2 linked regions of the Rhinolophus ferrumequinum genome follow. The protein of the gene in region 2 interacts with the protein of the main gene of each other region in a pairwise test. Links are inferred from orthologs where the notes say so. Each region holds a gene or a part of one and is shown on either strand. Other genes may lie near its edges. The genes, in order: SEPHS1 and ZBTB25.

Region 1 (11,653 bases), on a different chromosome or scaffold from region 2:
CAGAGAATGCCTGAATGCAAAATTTTGTGGATTTTTCTGGGAAAGGGCAACAGCTTTCATTTACTTCTCAAAAGCCATATGTGACCAGATTTATTTTCCTCTGTGTTCTTATATCCGCTGTTTCCTGCCTCTACTCTTGCTGTCGACTTCTGTCCCTTTTTGCCACGGCTAAGAGTTAGAGCTGATGCAGCTCTTCTCCCCACTTTGAACACGTTTGCACTTAGAATCCTGATGACAAACTTTCCTCTTTCCCAAACAAAGCAACTCAGCTTTTACCTGCTTTATACATAAGTGAAGAAAGGAGTACCCTGGGTTCACAACCAATGTTGTAAGAGAGAACTTTACAAGAAAATAACGGGTGAAAATAAATGAAACAGAAACCTTACATAAGAAAGCTGATCCAGCCATACTGTGACTATAAAACATCCAGATTCCTAGAACACATGCCAAACATTCAAAAAGCAAAGTGATCACAGTCTTGCATCACATACTTAAGAAATCACACAATATCCCAACAGCTTAGAATGTCTTTCTAAATCCTATATTTGGGAAAAGGCAAACTACTAATGACATCAGGAATTCAATTCCAGATGACGTCCTGGGGTCAAGTACAGATTCAGTTCAGTCTTCTCCCCTTCTGTGTCTGAAGCAGTTTTCTTCTCCCTCCTCACCACAGGAGCTTGGGACCCCAAATCACCCCCCCCCCCACAAACCAATCACTGCTGTCAATGCACTGAACAATGATGCTTAAGCACCGCCTTTCCTAAGGCAACGAAGAGAATGCAAGCATTTTAAGGAAAATTTTAAGATAAAGGCATAAAGGAGTTTCTTCTTAATTCTTAGCTAACCAGAAAATACAATTTAATAAAAAATGCTTTTACTATAATTGTCTGAATCCTGTACTTAATAGTACAAAAATGGTTTGAGCACATTTCTTGATCTCAAGTACTTCCTCCAAATAAGTTACAATACTATAACATAGTTACAATAATGTCACAGTTACCATTGCTTTGTTCTTTGACTCCTTCTTACAGAATTTTTTTTTTTAAAGGCAACAGGGAGGAGAGAAATCAGGTTTTTGACTCATTGACTACACTGCAGCCAAGATGCTTTTACTCAGGGAAGTGTAAGAGAAACAATGGTTCACATACCAAGCCTTGGCATAACTGCTCCCAGAAATTGCTCATCTTCTTGGAAGTGGTTCTCTTGTAAGGATTCCAGCAATTTCTGCAGGACATCTTGGGGCACTTTGCAGCCAGTGCCCTTCAGTTCAGTGAATCTGGTTAGCCGGAAGCTCTTGTCCAATTCATAACTTTCCGGGTTAAAGGACTCCCGTGTAGACATGGTTCTCGGGGCACACACACCTCACAGCTGGGTTCCTCCCTCCCTCTCTTAGTCAGCTGGTTTCTTTACAGATTCACCTGGGTATCACCAAAACACAAAAACACCATTAGAAGAATTCTCACCAGTACCTGCCAAGAATCAAATGAATACCTGAAAATGGAAAGTAAATGTGAAAAGGGCTGAAATCAACAAGACCACTGGGAGACAGTGATTTGGGGCCACAGGAGTCCGTCCCAGTGATGCATACACCAGAGTAAGTTATTTTTAAAAAGTGACTATGCCATCACAGACATTTTCTACAGAAGATCTGATGTCTGTGTTATAATTGTGGCTCCGAGGGGCAGCAAGGAAGATCTCCTCTGAAGACGGAACTATGGGCCAGCGGATACAGTGCCATCTTGAACAGTAAGTCCCAAAGGGTATTCTAGTGGGCAGCATTATGGAAAAAACATCCAGTCATTTCATCTGTCAACTCAGAAGCACTATGATTTAGAAATTAAACGTTCTGGCTCACGTGACTTTTCTAGAAAACTTTTCTGATATCTTTTGCGCTCTCGCATAGAAAAATAAAATGCCTGCTGGATACTTTGTGGAAAAAGGATGTTGATGGAAATGCATTTGATGAAATTCTTCATGATGCTAAATTCAATTTTAGGAAAATATGTTTTTACTCTGAGCCAGAAGTACACAACATGACCCATAATAGGAAGTCTTACTAAAGAAAAGAACTTGAAAACTGGAATGGCTGTGTAACACAGCCAGGTTCATGTTATTCAAGAGAGTGATGGAAAAGTTCTCCGCTGTTTTAATGCAGTGCTAGTTCCTAGAAAGCAAACATCCCGCCCAACAAACTCGTACACACACATCATTCACAAAATATGCTACTGCTCATTACCATTTCACTGCAGAACTAAAATGATAAATTAAGCTGTACTAAATGACTAGCATTTATGGTACTTGGTACCACTGGAACTTTCTGAAACAAGTACTCCTGAATTTGAAACTTTTGGGGCTACACCAAAAACTCAGTATGTGCTCCAAGGGTTTACAAACCTCCAGGTTGGCACTGAATTATACACACCCCAAGTTGTAGGGTCGGTTTCCCTTATAAAATGTATGATCAAGAACATAATTCCCATTTATAGAGTTCTCAATCTCCTGGGAAGGACATCACTCATTAAAAAAAAAAAAAAAAAATCTCACAAAGCTGGACTTTGGGCAGTAATCCAAACCATCCTTACAAAAACATGTTTGGGGTGAGCGATGATTTTGGTTTGAAAGCTACAACTGTGCAGGAGTAAACTTTCCAATATTCCAAGAAAACAACCTGTCCTAAGAGGGCCGCAGGAGAGCAAAGCCAGCAAGTAACCAAGACGGGAATTTTGAAGCCATTTTAGAGTTAGGAAAAGTCCAACAGCTTTGACTTGGAAGGGTTTGAAACAAAATACAACAGTCCTTTCCTCTCAAAACGCCTCACATTTAGCACCGCCTCACTTCTACCAGGGGGAAAAAAAATCCAACTTAGGAGGTATCCAGTTATTTCCCTACCTCCAATCCCTATCCAAAAAAAAAAAAAAAAAGCAGGGATAGGAATTTGGAATAGGGGGGACCAACTTCCTTTTAAAGATCCTTTATATCTTCCCGGATTTCTAAGGGGAAAAAAGTTTAAAACAGCAGAGTCCAGAAAACACTCAGGAGTTTTTTCCAAATGGAACGAGGGACACGAATCACACACTCATATCCGACCATTAAGAAAAATAAATCCCTACATTTTGGGGAGGAGATGAGGACGGGGGTGGGGGGGTGCTTGGGAATATGAGCAATTAATGGGGGCGAAAATAAACGTGTATTTGTGCATAATAAAAGGCAGTTAACTACAGCCCAAAAGCCGCCTGTTTACACCTTTAAAACAATGACATGAATATTTAAAGACAACGGTTAACCCTTTCCTTCTCCGGCACGTTTAAATTTTTAGACGAGATGGCAAAGCGGGCCGCACGGCTGGTGCAGCACGGTAAGTGGGGGTGGGAGAGGGTGCAGCCGCGGCCCGATACCTACCTATCCCCTAGCCCCTAAGCCCAGGACATCAACAATGGGGGGGACACGGCGATGTGGGTGCAGCGGCCAGGCGCCTGCCATGAAGCACACGTCGAGGCCGCCGGAGCGCGGGGCACGGAACTCGGGGACACCTTAAATCTCAGGCTGCCGCCTTCACAGGCCAATCGAGCCTGGGTTCTTTGTGCAGCGCGGCGGGCTGGCCGCGGCCGGGGGAGGCAGCGCGGCGCCGCTGGCTGGGCCATGCCCGCCCGCCGGTCCTCCCCGCAGCGGCGACGGCGGGAACCGCGCGCGGCCCACGCGGCGGGGAAGGAGCCAGGCGCGCACGGCCCACCGGCCGCGGCGGGGCGAGCGCGAGCGCAACGAGAACCCGGCCCGGAGGCCGGCCGGGCCCGTGCCCCCAGGTTCCGGCGGCGACCGCGGGCCGGAGGGCGCGCGCGGGGGGCGGGGAGGGCCCGCCGGCGCCGCGCCAGGGAGACCCGCCTGGGTTCTCCCGCCGCGCGCGCGGGCCGCAGCCGCACAAAAATGTCGGCGGGCGAAAAAATTAACCCCTGCGTCGCCGCCGCCGCCCTCCCCCTCCACTCCTCCCCCGCCCTCTCTCCCTCCCTCCTTCCCCGGCCCCGCGCGGCGGCGGCGGCGGCGGCGCGGGCGGTGCTTCTTTTTTAAAGCGGCCCCACCAAGCCCTGGCTCGGCCCCTCTGCAGGCAGCGCTGGCGCGCGCCGGCCGTGCACAGCTCCCGGCGGCCCGGGCGGCCCGGAGGGGGATCTGCACGGCCGCTCGGGGCCTGCGGACGAATATTCCCCTTTAAGCCTGGTGTCGCGCCCCCCCTCCCCGAGCCGGGCGCTTACCGGTTCGCTTTGCGCCCTCCGCCTCCTCCCGAAAACGGGCCGCCGCCGCTCCCACAATGCACCGGGCGCGCCGGGCTCCCTTAAGCGTCGCCTGAATAAAAATGCCGCTCCCGGCGGCGGCGGCGCGGAGGGCGGGAGGGCCCGGGCCGCGCTGGGCGCCGCGGGGGCTCGGCCCGGCTCGGCGGGCCCCTGCGGGGAAGCGGGCCGCCGCGCTTCGCCGTGCGCCGCGGCGAGGGGCCTTTAAGGGCCGGCCACCTCCCTTTAAGAGGCGGCGGGCCGCGGCCGGAGCGGCTCGGTGGCTGTGTGCGGCCCGGGAAGGGGGCGGGGGCGCTGTGCAGGCCGGAGCGCGGCAATGATTGGTCTCGGGGGAGGGGTGGGGGGTTGCAAAGCCGTGCAGCGGTGGCATCCGTTGCATGATGCAAAAAGGATTGATTTCAAAAGTTGCGAGCTGCACTGGCAGCAGCCTTTGGCGCCCGGGCCACCTACTTTTCCTCGACCGGCTGGAAGGGCCCGGAATGTTTTCCAAAACCCGGCCGGGCTCAGCCGCGCTACGCTCTGCGGGATGCTGGACCGGCTCCCCGCGCGCGCCTGTCGTGTCGTATTGGAAGACAATGACCATGGAAACAACTTGAAAAAGTGGGAGCAGGGCAAAAGATACCACAACTAACATGAAAGATTTAAAATGACAAACGGCGCGTTTTATGAATAATGACTTCATCGCCTCTCCCCTTCTATTGTTTAGTCTGGCTCAGGAGTTAACATGAGCCTTCGTGAACATGCAAGCATCCTGCAATGTTTCTTGAGCGTTTATAATATGCTTGGTAGGAAGTCAGGGTTTAATGTTCCTCAGTTACATTGTTCGCTCTTCACACGTCCAAGTAAACATGGCAGCCTCATACTGTCTGTGTTTGAATTAGCAAGTGATAGCAGAGCTTCAGTTTGCAAAGTTAACGTTTTTCAGGTTTTCAACTTTCTAATGCACTGCTTTAAAAAAAAAAAAAAAGCATAGTGGTTTCAGACCACATCCCTTAGGCCTTCCCTTAAAACCGAGGAGTGTGGAGGACCAAACTTCTAGAGCGGTTCAGGACTCTCCGAATGCATTTTGGGGCAGGGGTGTTTTGGGTAGCCGTAAGGTGCTTTATGTTGAGCGTCAGGTTTGCAGGCGACGCAGATGCACTTTTCATTCTTAAAATTTGTGCTTGAAACGCCCAGCGGTTTCATCTAGGCGAAGATGCAGAATTGTTGCAACCTGGAAAACCTGGCTGATGCAGGCTCCTTCTCTCTTTTGTGTCCTTTCTCTGTACCCCTACAGTAAGTTAAAAATGAACGTAGTAGCCTGGATTCTTTGATGTGATTTGATGGATATTTGTACGAATGGCATAACCCTGTGGTTGACAAACCTAGATTTGCCTCTGAATCACCCGGGAAGGCTCAGATACATGCAATCTCCAGGCAACATTTCCGACCTCCGGTATCAGGGCAGGAAGATACAGATACCTTTATTCTCCTCACCCCGCTCCCTTTTTATATTGGTTTTGTGGTGTTTTGGTTTTGTTTGGATTTTCACAAAAACGTCACGACTAGGAAAAAGTTTGGGAATGAGGGAAGGTGACACGAGAGCTGAGTAGGGCCCTATGTGAAGACGTGTGTGTCGTGCTGAGGATTTGGGTATTTATGCCGGTCAGCAGAGTCAATCAGATTTGTTTTTTACAAGTTTAGTTTGTAAAAAGGCTGGGCCACATGTCTAGTGAGAAGATAATTGTATTAGTCAAGCATAGAGTCGAGAATTTTTGAACTGAAGCAACAGGAATGCAGACGAGGGAGAGGATTTAGTGTGTGGTTGGAGAAAGAAGCAGAAGATGACCCCCAGATATAAAGTTTTGGGGGACTGTGTGGGTAGTGATGCTACCAATTGAAATAGGAACTATTGGAAGTCACACGTTTTGGGGTGAGTTCAGCTTTTGAAATGTTAAATTTCAGATGCCTGTCAGATAGGCTGGGCTGGAGGCAATTGGTAAAACCAGGTTTGGTTCTTGGAGTGGGGGTGGGCTCTGTGTTTGAGATGCAAATGTGGGTCCATCAGCATGCAAATGGAGTTTGAAGCCTCGGACAAATGTGAGATTAACCAGGAGGGAAAGTTCCGGGGGAAAAAGTGTGAGACCTTGGACAGATCCCCGCGGTGCTCCCTAATGGAATGACTGGACGAGCAGGAGGCTGATCCCTGCCGAGTCTGCTAGAGGCTAGCCATCTCAGAACCGGCTCAGCCAGCTCACGTGGTTGGAGCCAGCAGCTCCGAAACACGTGAGTCAAATTCTCCTGAGCAGAGGCTGTAGACTAAGCCACGGACACCTCAATTCACCTGGAGCCAGTCTCTACAACCGTGGGGTCGGATAATCCACCAGATCTTTCCTGCCTTCCTTTGACCTAACTGCAGGCTTCTCTCTGTCCTCCCCCCCATCCACCGGCCTTCATATCAACTGGGCTTTTCTGGCAGCTCCAAAATCCTAAAGTATGTATTCCTAATGTTCGTTATTCTCTACAGCGTCTACATCACACTTTATTGACCTCAGTAGCAGATACACCTCAAGAAAAAAAACGGGTGCCCTCAGAGAAAACCTTCCAGCTGTCCCACCCTGTGCCACCCCACCCTCTCTGACGGTCAGGTCCAGAGTCACAGAGAGAGGACAAGGCTAGCACCTGCTGCACTCCAGTTGCCACCCTGCCCACAACAGCGAACTATTCTTGAGGACTTACTACACACGCCACTTACAGAGTGTTTTCTGAACATCATCTTAGAAATCTCCCAGCAGCCTCAGGAGGTAGGTGCGATTATGGATGTTTCCTTTCATGCTGGAGGGAACCAGGGCTCCGACCAATTGACTAACTTACCCAAGGTCACTGTCTTAGTTTGGGTCCCTGCATGGCAGATCTTGAGATGAGGATTTGGGGGAAAGGAGTTTATTTGTGAGGTGGTCTCAGGAAGTACAAGTCAGGAAGTGGGCAAAATGACACAGGGAAGGGAAAGCAAAAAAAAAAAAAATGTAAATGAGTGGGTTTCCAGCATGGGCAGCAGGATGCACCCCAGTTGGTGCCTTTCTGAGATGCTGTACAGAACCCACTCTGTAGGCAGAATAATGCCACGACCCCCCACCTCCCCACAAGACGTCTATATCCCAGTGCCTGGAACCTGTGAACATGTTATGTTACAAGGTAAAGAGGAATTCAGGTTGCAGATGGAACTAAGTTTGCCAATCATTTAATTTAAGGAGCTTGTCCTGGATTATCTGGATGGGCCCAATTGAATCGCAAAGGTCCTCAATAGTGGAAGGTGGAATCCAAACAGAACCAGAGAGATGGCAGCATGAGAAAGGTTCAGCCCTTGTTGGCTATGAAGATGGAGGAAGGGGCCACAAATCAAGGAGTCCAGGAGCTTTCTGGAAGCTGGAAAAAGTAAGGAAACAACAGATTTTCCTGTAGAGCCTTCAGAAAGGAATGCACTCTGTTGCTACCTTGATCTTAGCTGATCCAAAGACCTGTCAGATCATAAATGTGTGTTGTTTCAAACTAGTTTGTGGTAATTTGTCACAGCGGCAATAGAAAATGAACATACCCCCTTAAAATAGTAGCATTGGCAGGCAGGGACACGAAGGTGTTTATCTACTGATTTTCATCCTTCATGGCTAAGGGATGAGCCCCTCCCCGTCCCTTTCACTGGACCAGGGGAGACTCAGACTTCCTGGTTACAGAAGCAGCCCTGAGGACCGGGCATGCTGGTGATTGAGGTGGGCTAGAAACTGTCCCAGAAGCTTCAGGTGGACACAGAGGTGGGCCAGGCCTCCATGGTGTCAACAGCCTCTGCCACAGTGCCCAGCTGGAGGCAGTCAAGCCAGAATCTAACATGGGGCTAAGTCTGGAGCCCAACTGCCTGCCCCAGGGGCCCTCCCTGCAGCACACGAGGCCATGAAAGTAGTCCTTCTTTTTGAAATTCTTTGGGCTTGATGTTAGCTCTTCCCTCGTTCTCCCGCTAACTTCTTTGGCTACTTCCTTTGATGCGTCCTCCTTCACTATCCTTTGCTCACCTGCGCCATCACTGATGTTCATCAGGTTTGTCTTGGCCTTTCTCCTCATGTTCATCCTGTGTTGTACGTCACACGGGGCTTCTAGAGCCCTGCTGTCCAGTAAGTATGGTAGCCACTCCCCACAGGTGGCTATCGAGTGCCCAGAAGCTCTGAACTGACATGTGCTCTCAGTGGGAAAAATGCACTGGATTTTGAAGATGAAGACAAAGAAGACGAAGAAGATGAAGATGAAGGCAACGATGAAGAAGAAAAGGAAAAAGGAAAAGAAAGTAAAACATCGCAATAATTTTTCTATTGATTCATCTTGAAATATAATATTTTGGATATGTTGGGTTATTTAAAATACATCATTAATTTCATCTGTGTCTTTTTGCTTTTCTTACCGTGGCCACTGGAACATTTAAAATGACTTAGGTGGCTCAGAGTATATTTCTACATGACAACACTGCTCCAGAGGACGCTCCAAGCCCCAGGCTCAGGTATTCAAGCCCTTACCTGAGTGTTCCACAAACACTTCAAATTCAGCATATTCCAGACCAAAATAATCATCTTTCTTCCAACCCCACCCAGCCCCCCATGTATTCCTCATTTCTTGGCCCACAGACAGTTCTCTGCTGCATGGCACATGCTGGAACCTGGCACTTATCCCCAGCTCCTCTCTTTTTCCAGTCTTAACTATTATCACATCTACCCTCCTGCATGGTCTTCATACCCAGACCCTCCCCTCCACTGCCACTCTTCCTGTCTTGGTTCATTTTTCTCATCACTCATCTCGACTCTAGTGGAAGCATCCTATTTGTGGTCTTTTTATTGTGATACTCACTTGCTGCCAGAATGATATTTATCAAAGGCAAACCTGGCCATGTTGTTTTCCCACATACAGCCTTTGTGGGGCTCCCATTACCTCTGGCTCCGTTTCTCTAAGTCTCGTACTCACTCACAGGTGTGCACAGATGCCTTTAGGGGGTACGTGGAAGAACTTTTTTAGTTTTGCAGTTGTGTGTTCATTTCAGCACACATTGGAAAGAATACCTAACATGTAAAACCTGTGATTTCGTGGACATTATTCTTTAGGACAAAAAGTGTGTTGTCGCAAAGAAAATTTTAAGGAAACAGTAGCACAGGCTAAGTAAGAGCATTGGTCAAGTACATAAATTTCAGTCTCCTTATTGTGGTTTTAAAAAACAAAAAAAAAAAAACCTTCATGATCCAGCTTCTGCTTTTCCTCCCTAATCTCCAGAAGGTGCCCTCATCCTATTTTACAGCCACCCTGAGCCGCTTATAGATCTGCAGGCTCACCTTGTCTTTCTCCACTTAGCATCTCAGAAGCGTTATATCACCTCGTCCCCACTTCTGGTAAATGATAAGTAAGCCGGTGAGATTCCATTCCAAGAGCCTTCTCTCCAGAGTTCTCTGGCTTTTCCGAGAGGAACAATCACCCGTGTGTGGTAGGCATACATCCACATCCTCGCCACCTGTGAAAGTGTCACCTTACGTGGCAAAAGGGACTTTGCTGACGTGATTAAGTTAAGGATGTTTCAATGGGGAGATTGTCCTGGATAACGGGGTGTGGACCGATGTAATCACCAGGATCCTTAGAATTCAAAAAGGGAGGCAAGTCTGAAGCGATGTGACAAAGGAAGCAGGAGTCAGTGATCAGGGGCCATGAGCCAAAGAACGTGGACAGCTTTTAGAAGCTGGAAAAGGCAAGGAAATGGATTCTCTCCCCTAGAACCTGCAGAAGGAACGCAGCCCTGCCAACCCATTTTGGTCCTCACCGTGGAACCTATCCTGCTGATTTGCAGTTATCCCGTACACCTAGTCGCTCCTCCACTTCTCTTCTCGCCTGCCCCACCAAAGCCATGAGCTCCTTGTAGAGACTGTCTTAGGTAGCTTTGCCTCCCAGTGCTTAGTGCATTCCCTGGTCTGTGGTAGGAATGGCAGGAGAGGGCTATTCTGGAATTGGGGGACACAGAATTTCAAGAAGGTAGGAAGAGTCAACATTGTCAAGTGCTACAGAAAAGCAAGGTGAAACAAGTACTGAAAACAGATTGGACTGAAAAGGTCCCTGGTAGCCTTGGTGGGGACACTCACATGCTGGGGCCAAGGGGGGGGGAGGAAGACAGGGAGTAATGGGCTGAGGAGCGAGTAGGAATTGAAGTTGTGGAGATCTGAGTGTAGACACTTCCTTTAAGAAGCGTATTATAGGAGGAGAAGACAGGACATTTCCTTGAGGGAGAAGAGGAGGGGTTGGATTTTTAGAACCTGCAAAGCTTTGAGCAGGTATGTAAGCCATCAGAGCAGAAGAAACTAAAGATGTGAGAATGAGGAGCGGTCTCTGATTGGAGAAGATCCTAAAGGGGGGGAGGAGGGGGTAAGTTTGGATGCTTTGGTGGTTAAGTGTTCAGTTGGGGGCTTATATTGTGGTGGTTTTGTTTCTGCTTTCCTCACAAGACTGGAAGCTCTGCGTGTGGGGGTGGGGAGACCGTGGCCACATGTTCAGTAATAACAGCACGTAAAATCGCTGGCTACGGGACAGTCACTATTCTAAGAGCTCTGCCTGTATTAATTCATTTAATCCTCATAACAACCCTAGGAAGTAGGTACCACTATGCCCATTTTATAAATGAGGAAACCAAGGCCCAGAGAGGGTAAGTAACTTGTCCAAGGTCACAAAAGAAGAAAGTGGAGGACTTGCATTTAAATCCAGCCCATCTGTCTCCCAAGTCCACACTCAAAATATGGAGGCACTCAGCAAATTGTTGTCAAGTGAATGAGTGACAGCTAGCTTCTCCTGCTCCCCATAAATAGCAGGATGTGTTTGTTCTCTCTTCCCTCCTGCCCCCCACACAGGGCTATCAGCATGAACTTCTCGTGATCTGAGGTGTGAATGAAAGGGTAGCTGGCTGCTGGACCAGCATGAGGCCACAGAAGTGCTTGAGATTTGACCCTTAACCTCCACCTAGAGGCTGCAGCCCAAAACGCTCACTGGGTTCCAGCAGGATGACAACTTCCCAGATACCTCCCTCTGCCCTCTTCCTCCATCTCATCCCAGGCCAGAACTGGGATTCACTAGCCCTCCCTTGCTTCCCAGCAGGTTACAGGAGTGTGCTTTCCACGTGCATGCTCAGCTTTGCAGCCCTTGAATTCTCTGCTAGCAGGGCTTCGGGCCGGGGGGCATGTGTCAGAACGCTACTGAAAGTAGGTTTCTATGGGGAAGGCAGAAATTCCGATCCAGAACCAGGGGGCCAGAGGTAATAGGTTCAGATCCTGGGAAGGGGACATGGGGCCTTGGCCGTCAGGTGGGAAAGCCACGGGGCCTGGACT
Region 2 (12,052 bases):
TTGTTAAATGAAAGTACTAAATAAGAGCCTAGGAAGCAGACACCAATAGATCTGAACACCACTAAACTTCTTTACCTCTGTAAGCCTGCTGCTTTTCTCATCTATAACATACGGATAATCACATTTCTCATAGGATTCTTGTACAAATTAGAGATGACAAATATTTCTTAGTCTTCTCAATCCAAGCACAATACAATTTTTCTTAAATATTAATGTCATCAATATGAACATAATTCATACAATTTTACAAAGTGATCAAGTTCAACCCGCTGCCTTATAGATGAGAAAACAAACTGACGCCCTAGGAGGTTAAGTGATAAGCTCAAGGTCATATCTAATTTTAGAGGCTGACAGGTGGGACCTTGGTCTGGGGCTCTTCCTACTATTCTAACTGCAGCCCCTAAGTACAGCACACCTGGCTGGCTGCTTTCTCCTCTGCATCAATTATGTTTTGCTGAAATGTAAGAGCTGTTCAAATTTCCAAAGGTTGTTTGCACCTACCAAATGGCCTGAGACTGTTATGCTTTTGAAGATTGTGATTTGTTGGTCGGTATTTTTCTGTCTCCTTGCTTGTCAAGCCAACAGCTGTCACTTCTAAAAGGTATGCTAAGCTCCTGCTGCCCACCATTTCAATCTGTTATGGGTTAGGAAGACAAAAACTCATCGAGACAATCTACATAAATAATTTTCTGTGAGGACCTAGGGAAGTGTTCTAGGAGTAAGATAAGATTTTAATTCCTGCACTTGTTTCAATTATTTGAATTGTTGATAAGCAACAAATAGTCTAAGTCTTTTGCTTCAGCAAGGGCACCTGGATAGCTGAGTTTGCCAACCAAATAAACTTCTGAATAAGTGAGGTGTTTCTGTAATTCAGCTGCATTATGGGTCTAGGAAATGAATTTATCCACACAGAAAGCAACAGGAACACAGTGGCTTCTGGAACACTCTTCTCCCTCTAGGAGTAGAGGAGGAAAATTATTTAATCCAACCAGTCTACATTTTGATCTGTTCATCCTAAGGAGGCAACATGACGTTTTCTGACCACCAGAGGGCACAGTGTGAACAGTAGGCTTCTCAGCAAAAAGCAGCTTCATCAGAAAGTCCCTTTTTAAAAAGCACGTGGCATTCATATTCTTAAGAGTTCATTTTGTGGAACTTCTATCTATCCAGAAGTATTCACTCTGTGACTTTGTCTGGGACCCACCTAAAACTGCTCCTCCACCTGTATTGTCTTAGTTGGCACCGCCATGCACCAATCACCCAGGCTACTTGGGAGTCACCTGGGTCTCCCCCCTCATAATTAAGTCTTGCCAATATTTTCACTAAATATTTCTCAAATCTGCCCCTCTATTCCATCCCTACTTCCCCTGCACTCCTGAGGCCTCTATCATCACTCATGAGTTGCTACAAGAGCCTCCTTAACTAGTCCCTCCTTAACAAATCCAGCCTTCACCCTCAGACGACTCATAAAGAACAAAAATCAGACCATATCTGTCTCCTGCTTAAACTCTGCTGTTCCCTTCACATATCCTCAGGCTAAAGTACAAACTCCTTAGCAAGGCATCAAAGGCCTCCTGCCCACCCATCTAGTCTTGTTTGGCTACTTCCTGCTTCAAACTTCATGTTCAAGCAGCATAAAACTGCTTGTACCTCCCCCTCCCCCCCAATCCCTCATTTCTTCATGTATTTTACCTCCATTTTTAGTCATGCTCATTGGTTCTTGTACCTGAACCTCCCACGTATCATTTAATAAGCAGTTTATCACCTCCTCCAAAAAGCCTTCTTGTAACACCTCCCTCTTCCACTATTTTGGGTTTTGATATCACTGTGTATTATCTCCTTATTTTGCACTTATTACACTGTATTTTAATTACCAGAACAGCAACATAAAGTAGGTGTTAAAGCACAAACTGACTACACTGCCTAGGTTCAAATTCTGGCTCTGCCACTTGTTAGGTGCGACCCTGGGTAGGTTGCTTAACCAATTTGTGCCTCAATCCTCTCATCTGAGAATGAGGACTGTAATCCTTCCAAGCATTAAGACTTATTACTGTCATGGAGTAAGTGCTAAGTAAGAATTGGCTACCGTAATTTCCTATGTGTGGGTCTCCCCTCTAGATCATGAGGAACCTGGAGGCAAGGACTTTGGCTTGTTCCTTTCTCTGCAGCGTAGTATGTATTCAGTAAATGTGGCTAAATGAGTAACTGGTGAAGCAGCTCTATGATGGGAGGGACTACCCTGTTCCTTTCTTTCAGCAGATCCACACATTTCTTAATTGTATTGCTTCCAATTTTGTAGCTCTGATTTTTTTTTTATGTTTAATTCTAACTAAAATCCTGAGAACTTCATACTTTTATCTAATTAAAAGTCAATGAAATGAAACCAAGTGTCATAAAAAGCATGTTCATCCTAAGAAGCTTAACTCCATTTCTAAGCCTTAAATCTATTTAAGATTTAAGATTATCCCTCATCCCAAAGCACCTAACACAGCATAAGACTTCATGCCTTCATACATGCTATTACATTTCCTTAGACCCTTTTCAAGGTCCAGCTCACTTTCTTCCGGAAGTTTTTTCTGATCCCAGGGCTAGGCAGTTGACCTTCTTCTGTGCTTCCGAAAGAGCCCGTACCTACAACTATAGGGTGACAAATAATATATCATTCAAACTGGGACACTGGATCTATCACCACACTCCCAGCAGGGATTGTAAGTGCGTTGTCCCCCTGCTTTGCTGTAAGCTGCTAGAGGTCAGAGCACTGTCTTGGTCATCACTGTGTCCCGTGAGCCTCTAACAGTTGCCTGATATTTGGTTGATATCTGATCAGTTTCTGAATGAATAAATGTTGAAGTCGGTTAAGTTTTATTTTGCTTATCAATTTTTTGCATTATTTCAATCACGGCAACTTTTATATAGTGGCCAAAAATTTACAAAGCAATTTCTTATGCATTATACAACTGATTCTCACAATCCTGAGGTAGGTATTTTTATCCTTATTTTGTGAATGAGGATACAGGTTCAGTGGTTGATACATAAGTGCTCATCTTGATTCAGAGCCCTAAGTTTCAGTTTTTATGAACCAGACAACACTCTTTCTGACAATGATGATTTAGTGGTGTCCCTTTGCAACATTCTAAGCCTCCCAGTCACCCCATCCTCATATTGCCTCATATTGCAGGCAGAATGCCGGGCTCCTTCCCCATCTCTTCCATCTGCTGACTCCCACTGCCCATCAGAGCAAGCCCTCCCCTTATACTAAAGATTTCAAGTGGGAATGGAGCTCTTCATCTCAAAAGGATTATGTGTTATCTCACACAGGCAACAAACAGAAAATACGGTTGATTTAACTGTCTTTAATTTTCCAATTTTATTTTGAAAATGACTTTAAACTCAAAGCAGAGTAGTGTAAAAAACATGCATGTCCCCAACATCCGCAAATAACCAATGTTGTGATTACACTTCTTTTGGGGGCTTTGTTTTCAGAACATCATCAACTACTTCACAGCTCACACCAGGCTAATAAGTGATTCTGCACTTTCACTAAGATCTCTTGTAGTTACTACACAAGCCATAATATTACTTAGAAATCTATCTTAATTATGTACCATCTCCTTCCGTGCTACATCTGAAAAACCATAGTCATTCATCCCCTTCTTTCCTCAATGTGTGGCCTGCTACCTCTGGATATTGATTCAGAGGAACCCCTCATCCCACATCAGCACAGAGATATCTTAGCAGTGGTCTTCATGGTAAGTGTACCTTCTCCTTCCCAACTATAAATTATGAAACTCTCTACAAATGTGAGGGTATTGTTTTGTTTTAATGAGTTTGGCCTGTGTAAATCAATCCATGATAAACTGGACATCAACATTAACATTAAAAGTGTGAAAACTAGGACTAGCACACCAAGGCACAGTTAAGTACTTCCTAAAGGAAGGCCTAAAATAGCAGCCCTGTTACATTTAAACTTTCATGTGTTACTTTATCATAGAATTTCAAATCAGCCCAATGCAAAATATTTCCTTTTACTCTACCTGGACAATTTTCACCAACCTGAGTAGTGAACAGAGAACAGGAGTCCCTGAATCATCTGACAGGCCATTCCTAGGCAGGGTGAGGCAGACACAGCAGCACAGTTATGATCAAATGTTGCCTTCTCTCATTTTAAACAAGGAATTTACTGTGAACAGTTATTATTTCTGGGGAGTGGGAGTCAGAATGACTTTCATTTTTATAGTATTTTCTGTACTTCAGTATAGGTTGAATTTTTACAAAGAGCATGGATCTTATAAAGTATTTCCATTTTGAGAAAAAAGACATGACTCACTTTTAATTTGGTTCATGTAAGAATAAATAACAAAGTAATTTGAATATTTTACTGTAAGAGATATTAACACCAGAAGAAAATATCAGGACAAAACATTATGTAGAGACCAAAGTGACCTCTCAAGCAGATGTTTTGCAAACATACCTCATTTTTTTTTTGAAAGACAACAGATTGTAGCTTAAAAATAAAAATCTATGGAAAATTTTCTGCATTTTTATTCCAAATGGTTTCCTCTTCTTTAGGCCAGAAGGTTAATAGCAAATGCTTGACACTCTTCCTGGCTGGAGGAGTGGCCTGAAAGCAGGCACTTTTTTTCTCCTGCATATTAGGACGGAAAATGGTGCTAAGTACAAAAACTTAGCAGTGTTAAACCGAAATCAAAACACAAGGTCAAGAGCAAGTGGCTCAAACTATGTTTATGCCCTGTTAAATATGGTTTCTCTTTTCTTTAACAGTGATGGGCCCTCTCTCCTCCCCAAAACTGGCTACTATGTTGGAATGGGAAGAACAGAAAGGCTTCAGGAAAGACTGCTCAACCTGTTATTCTGTATTTGGTCATAATGGAGAAACCTGCTTTTAAAATGAATATGTTAACTGAAGGCTCTACTGCAGATTGTCTTTATTAATCTTTGGAAAATCATTTCACCTCCATTATACTTCAATTTTCTCTGTTTAAGATGAGGAAGTCCCACCCCCATCTAGCTCCCAAAGCCAGTTATTGAAACTTTATCAGATATATAGCAAATGATTCAAAAGAAAAATTCTGAAGTTCTGATGACCAGTCTTCAGTCAAGCTTCATCTTTTTGTATCCCAATTCTCTCCATCATATCTAATTTGTACTGACAAAGTTTCATAGAATCTCATTTCTCCGTTTCAAAGACGGTGATTGCTTTGAACTTACCATGAGAACTGCATCCGTCACCAAATAAGCTCCAGAATGCCTTGAACTTCAGCTCAAGAAACTATTCCAAGTCTCCTAAAAAAGCCTGGGACCACTCCTTGGGTTCGAGTGTCAAAGAGAAAATTGTTCCTGGAATAGTTTTCCTGCTGTGATACATACTATTTGGAAAACTACTTAGGCTAGTGGAGAATCTGTGCCTACCCACCACGCTGCAGTTCGATTTAGTAATATTATTACATATACAAATGCCCCCACTGTCCCCAGAAAACATCAAGGACTTTCACCAACATCTCCCTGACGCTCCTAATCTGGAAAATGTCATGTCAACCTTTCAGATCATGTAACGCGTTGCTTAGGTAGAATGGGAGGGTGCCTGAGCTCAGACTCAAGCCTACATACTTTAGTGGTAACGACTCCCGATCTAGTACCTCCAACACATTTACGGAACTCTAACAGAACTTCTGGAAAGCGACCACCACTGGAAGCGAAAAGCACTTTCTTCTCAGGAAACAAGATCTTTTCCCCCTGAAAATTCCCAAACCCGAGACCTACCACTTTTAATTGAACAAAAAGCGTGTGTGCCGGCAAGAGGGGGTGGGAAAGGAGCGTGGCAAGAATCTGCAAGGCTCCTACGCCTCCTCTCTCGGAGCGCGCCCAAGTCTGCGGCCTCGGGCTCCGGGACACTTCCCCTCCCACCCGCCGAGGAGCCGCAGCTGTAAGTTGAGAGAAGCGGGCTCTGGGCACGTCAATCAACCGGGTCCTCCCGCCTTCCGTCTACACCTCTCCCTTCCCCCCCTCTCAAAAAAATAAGGGCAGAAAAAGAAAGGGAAAAGACGGTAACTAATGTGGGAACTAGTCTCCGCAGGAGCTTCGCCTCAGACCCAGGGAGGCCGCACGTCCCGGACCTTGTGAGGCGGCGGGCGGCGGGATCGAGCAGGCGGGCCCAGCAGCCGCCCGTCGCCGGGTCCTCGCAGCGCGTCCGCCGCGCTCCGGCTCCCCGCACTGGTCGGCGGCGCTCTGGCCCCGCACTCCGCCAGGCCCGCGCGGCCCGCCGCCCTTCGGCGCGGGCCAAAGTTGCGCAAATAGCCCCACAACTGGCAAATACTCACCGGCCGCAGCAGGAACCAGGGTTGCGGAGATTTTAGGGAGTTTAAGGCAAATCGGACACGGGAAAGGCGGGCGGAGGCGACGGGGCCGCGAACTGCAGTGGAGGCGACGCGCGGCGCACGGGCTGGGCTGCGCGGAGAGGTTCTGGCTCTGTCAGGGACTGTGCTGCAACAAAGGACTTCCGCTGCCGCACAGCCGCGCCTGCCGCACCGCACTGAGCCGGCCCCGCTTACGCGGCGACTCCGGGTCTGCCCACCAGTTCGCTGCGGCGTCCGCCAGCCTTCCCCTCCCTCTCGCCCGCCCACCCACTCCGCCGCTGGCTGCTAGGGGCACCCGCGGTCGCCTGTTTGTTGCAACAAGTTTCTGCGTCGGGCTCCGAGGAGGCTGGCGCAACCCGCACCGCGGGGGCCGGCGCGGCGGCGGCTTGACCACCCCTCTCGCTCCTCTCCCAAGGGTAGGCTTGGGACCTCCTCCTCCTGTTTGCACAGCTGGATGGGACTGGGCTCCTCCCGACTCCCCAAGGGCAGGATGCTGCTTTCCCACTCCGTCCAGATGTCAGACCCCTGCCCGGGAGGACCCAGCAGCTGGGCCCTCCCTCGCGGTACGTCCCCGGCGTTCTGGGGGCGCCGGCACTCTCACCCTGTCCCGTGCGGGGCCAGTCCGTTCAGGGTCGCCCATTCCCCGCGCTCCCCCACCCCGCCTTCCAAGGGCCTGTCGGCCTCCGGCCTTGAGTCACTTCCCCCGCCATGCCCCACCCCACCTAACTAGCCTCCCCTCCCAGGCTCCCGCGGCTCAGCTTCCCTGGCCTTGCGCCCTCACCCCTCTCCCCGTGAACACGCGGCGCATCCTTCCCCACCCCCATCCCCGAACAGAGGAGGTGCCCATGCTTTTGCACACACCAGGGAAAGTCCCCAGGTCACGCGGTTTTGTGTGTGTGTGTGTGTACGTGTGTGGAGCCTGTGACGCTCAGGTTCGTCTCCACGCTTCCGCCTACAGAGTCACGACTGGGAACGGTGGCGGAGGCGCCCCAAGCGCAAACCGACCCCCTCCTAGCCACCAGGGCAGGCGCGCACGTAAGCACGCATGCACGCATACTCCGGCCCCCGCGCCCCTCGTTCAGCGGCTACCAGGCGCGCGGTCACGTGGGCCCACCGCGGGACGGCCGGCGCGGGAAGCCGCGCGAGAGCGGACCGCGGGGTGCGTGAGCCGGCGCCGCCGCGTGACGTTTGCGGCGCGGGAGCCGCCCCTCCCGCACGGAGGAGCCGGCCGGCCGCCGCGGCGGCGTCTGGGTAAGCGACGCGGCCCGGCCCCTGTGGGCTGCTCCAAGCTCAGTCCCTCCCGCCGCGAGCCGCGTGGGGCGGCGGCGGCCTGCAGCTGCGCCGGTCGCGGACAGATGCAAGTAGCTCGGGAGGGGGGTGTTTTTGGTCCATTTGACTTGTCAGTCAGGGCAAGGAGAAAAATGGCAACTGCGAGTGAATGCTGGGTCGAGGATGCCCAGAGCCGCCTTAGGCTGTCTGCATAAGGCGTTTGTCTGGACTTGATGCAGGCGAGTCCGCGCGCGGGGGCGCAGCAAAGGCATAGAGCCCTCCCTGTAGAAAGCCGGTTGCGACCCCGCGCGGGAAGCCCCGACTGGCGTGCGGCGTTCCCCGGGCGGCCGCCCGGATCCCTAGCAAGTGGGCGGGTCTCCAGGTGCAGCCTGCGAGACGTTGCTACCACTGCCCTCCCTCTCCCTCCCCACCTCCCATTTGTGATTACTTTGTTGCTAGAGCAGGAAATATCCCGCCCATCCCATAATTCATTTATTTCTTTTTTCAGATTAATTTCATTCTAAGCATATCCAGTTTTTGTTTTTAAAGCTTGCGCCATCTATCACTGCCTTCCCTAGCACTCATTTAGAGAAATCAAGCTGTTCTCTAGCTGCTTAGGCAGCGCCTAGCTCTGTACCTGGAACTTGGCAGCCCCTAACATGTTTCATAAATGAACGCCCGGTTCACCGCAAGGGATTAAATTTGGCATTCATTGTCTTGAGAATAAAGTCTTTTGGGCAAAGCTGTTCATTCCCACAAGGTTTTGTGAAGTGTGTAAAGTACACTTTGTAATCATAGATTTTTAAAGCTGAAAGGGGCCTTATAGAAAATCCAGTTCATCCCTCTTATTTTACACGTGAGGACACCCAGCCTAAAGATCATGTAGCTGATGGAGGTCCTGCACCTCTTGAGTAATTGGACTCCAGGGCTCCAGATGCCTTGGTCGTTTTATTCTAGCACACCAGGAGTGCAGTGCCAGTTTAACCCACTCATTGTAGACTGTCCCCCAGAGGTGATTTTACTTGGCTTGGTCCAGATTGTTGAGAAATCAGACTTGGCCAGTGTGTGATGGCTCTGGTATTTTAAGAAATGGGGTTGGCACTATTTCTAGGTGGAATAGACTGCCTCTGATGTACTTTGGAGCTCAACCCTCCTCCCCCTCCGATTCAGCCTATTCTCTGCAAGAATAACCAATATTTGCAGCATTGGTTGCTTCCTTAGGTTAAGGCATCAAAGTCCTCATTAGCAATCTGGATATGTTTTAATTAACAGTAAATTATTAGTCCATTATCACAAAGACATCAGCTCTTTACTAGGGAACAGAGCAATGATGGGATAGGACACGGAGTTGATTAGTACTGCTGGCCAGGAGGTTATCAGGAAGCAGTGGAACATCACTGGGTGGTCAGCAAGAAAGGAGGGAGGGACTTCACGTGACTAGCTACACCTTTTTGTCCAGTCCTGCCCTGAATGTCTTATTTGGAGGTAGTGGAGATGGATTCTGCTCAGGTTTGGTCACTGTTTTATTAAGTACCTGCAGTGGCTAGCCATTTTCATAGAGGAGTGTTGAATATTTACCAAAAAGGATGTAGTATTGTCTCTGTTATTACACACAAGGAAACAGGCTCAGAGATTTAGTTGGCTTCAATAATGCAGTCGTTTGCAGTAGAATTCAGCCTAGACCACTTACCGTGTTTCCCCCAAAATAAGACCTAGCTGGACAGTCAGCTCTAATGCATCGTTTGTAGCAAAAATTAATATAAGACCCAGTCTTATTTTACTGTAATATAAGACTGGGTCTGTATAATATAATATGAGAGCAGGTCTTATATTAATTTTTACTCCAAAAGACGCATCAGAGCTGATTGTCCGGCTAGGTCTTATTTTCAGGGAAACGGTATCTCCCAAGTCCAGTCTGGCTCTTTTGCACTATATCTCACCACCACTTCAAGCCAGGAAGGGGATGAGAGAATCGCCTGTGGCTGATTTATTGGCGCCTGTGGTTGCCCAGAGAAGCTGAGCAGGACTTTCAGCTGCCCTCTATGCCTTAGAAAGTGGAGCTGTGTGCTTCCACCCTATCTCCTGAGGGGAATGGGAAGGAGTCAGGCTGTCTAGCTGAGGAGGAGGGGCCCAAGTGCCTTGGCCATAAAATATCCTGGTGAGGGCTGTGCTGGGAAGTGTTGCATAATGCCCTCCTCACCACTGAACCAAAGTGATTTATTTACTATGGTCCAAAGATGGTGCTTGACCATCTTGTTAAAGAAAAACTTGTCCATTTTAGTAATGACGGCCAGAAAAGAGTTGGGGATTTTATATTATTGCAGTATTTTTTTCTTGTTTTAAAAAAAGCAGTACCGGTGCTCTTATCTTGATAAATTATAAAGTACTTCTATACCACTTCCTGTGCCCCCTTTCTGCTTATTTATTCCAAATTGCATGTGAACTTCAGTCTTGTCAGAGAAGAATGCTAAGAAAAATACTGTTCTAGTTTAGCGTTACCAGCATAAGCTATGGAGGCAGACCTAGCTTTTGACCACCACTTTATACCATTTGTAGTTTACTAATTGCTAGGTTTTTCCTCATCTGTAAAATGGAAATAAAAAGAACAAATGTAGTCACCGTGAGGATGAAAAGAAATAATGTACATAAAGCACTTAAGTAGCACAAGGCCTTGCATATAGTATTTACTCATTATAATAGCAGCTATCAATAATATCTGGAACAGTATTATTCCCTCTAGGATAGGAAAGATTGCTACTTGAGCTTGCTTGTGGAAAGTGGAGAAGGAAGAAACAAAGTGTTTGAAGTAAACATCAGTTTCAGGATTATTAATTGAATTTAACACTTCTGCTTTCCCTTTGCCAGCAGGATTTTCTTTCTCTTTTAATCTTATCTGGAGAAAAGGTGTTTATAGTGTTGTTAATTATTTTTGAAATTTTTCTAATTTCTTCCCTGGTTATAAATCAATAGACAATGACTTTTTGTTCCTTCTGAAAAACTCTAGACACTTTAAGCAAAGGGTTTCATTAGCTCATGTGGATAATGTGTTGTGGAATGTTCCATGCAAAGGAAATATTGGATCACCTGTATTCATTCTTATACGATCATTCTTGTTTGTACTGTATTCTAGGTCTGTGCTAGTATTGTTGTTTTCCATCTTTCTCCTCCTTTTAGTACCTATTCTTTCAGAAATGCAATCTTTATTTTTTTAGTAGACTAAGAAGAATTTTTTTCCTTTCCTTCACAGGGTTCTGATTTTTTAAGGTCCACCAGCAATTTGTACTCACCAGTGTTAGCATTCTTGTTTGCCTGGTACTGTGGCTTTATCAGGCATCCCACATGTTGGTTAGATGAGGGTTAGAGATGCAGCAGGCTGGCTATATCTGCCAACAGGCAGGAGGCCCCAAACTGACGTTTCCCTGTTCCGTTAAAGGTTTCTAGAGCATAACTGCTCTTCCTGTATCATCTACCACATCTACTTCTTACCCTCTTCTCTAATATTCTCAGTGATTTTCATAAGCAGATGCCTAGAATTACTGCAGATTTTATTTACCTCAACCAGTATTTTCAGATTTGGAATTTCCGTGTCATTTTCAGATATTGTGAAAATAGGTGTAATGGAGTATGAGAATAAATACCTCTTTTTTCTAAATACTTTTTAAAAAGTATGAAAATGGTGTGTTCCTTCTGTGCCCCCAGTGCAAATTCTACTAGCTTGGGAGCACTTTTGTTTCTTAATCTGACTAATTTTTTAGTTTAAAGTTACAATTAGAATTGTTGATTTTTGTTCTTTTAATGTAATTGGTATAATTTCCACATTTTGAGAACTTCTTGTGAAATTGCTTCTTTTTCTCTGATTTTAGAGTGAAATATTCTCTGGAGTTTCTTTGGTCCCTTTCCTTTTTTTTTTTTTTTTTTTTTTTAATTTTATTGGGGAATGTTGGGGGACAGTGTGTTTCTCCAGGGAGTTGTCCTTCAGTCCAGTCATGGAGGGTGCAGCTCGGCCCCAAGTCCAGTCGTGGTTCCCAATCCCCAGCAACCTTGTTGAGAGCTCGTGCTCTAACCAACTGAGCCATCCGGCCGCCCCTTTAGTCCCCTTTTCTAACGTGGTAGCTGTTACCTGAGGCATCTTAGACTCACCTGAGGAGCTTTTTAAAAAAAACTACCTGTGCTTCACCCCCAGCAATTCTGTTTGGGTTAATCTGGAGTAGGACTCAGGCATCAATGCAACTCTACATGGAAAGTTTTATAATAGTCATCAATAAGAGCCACTATTCCAGGATGAAATGATTTCTGTAAACACTCTTTCTCTAGGCTATAAAATGTTACACCTCCACAGTCATGTGAAAGTACCATTAAAAAGTTAAAATCATCGTGTAAAGTCTTTTATCGTGGCATTTTGAATATTT

Evidence for each region.
Region 1: the proteins of ZBTB25 (region 2) and SEPHS1 interact in binary tests that used the Homo sapiens proteins (3 or more experiments, as listed by UniProt). The two-hybrid records come from large-scale screens. The link is inferred for Rhinolophus ferrumequinum from reciprocal best matches to the Homo sapiens genes ZBTB25 and SEPHS1.

Annotation. Positions count from the first base shown.
Region 1 is NW_022680355.1:188,316-199,968, forward strand, and holds the start of SEPHS1 (selenide, water dikinase 1), read right to left. Parts: upstream 4,555-11,653; 5' UTR 4,248-4,554; intron 3,675-4,247; exon of another isoform or gene 3,403-3,674; intron 3,359-3,402; exon of another isoform or gene 1,428-3,358; intron 1,422-1,427; 5' UTR 1,345-1,421; coding exon 1,152-1,344; intron 1-1,151. UniProt on the Homo sapiens protein: Synthesizes selenophosphate from selenide and ATP.
Region 2 is NC_046289.1:31,370,090-31,382,141, forward strand, and holds the start of ZBTB25 (zinc finger and BTB domain-containing protein 25), read left to right. Parts: upstream 1-6,670; 5' UTR 6,671-6,790; intron 6,791-7,447; exon of another isoform or gene 7,448-7,625; intron 7,626-7,636; exon of another isoform or gene 7,637-7,731; intron 7,732-12,052. UniProt on the Homo sapiens protein: May be involved in transcriptional regulation.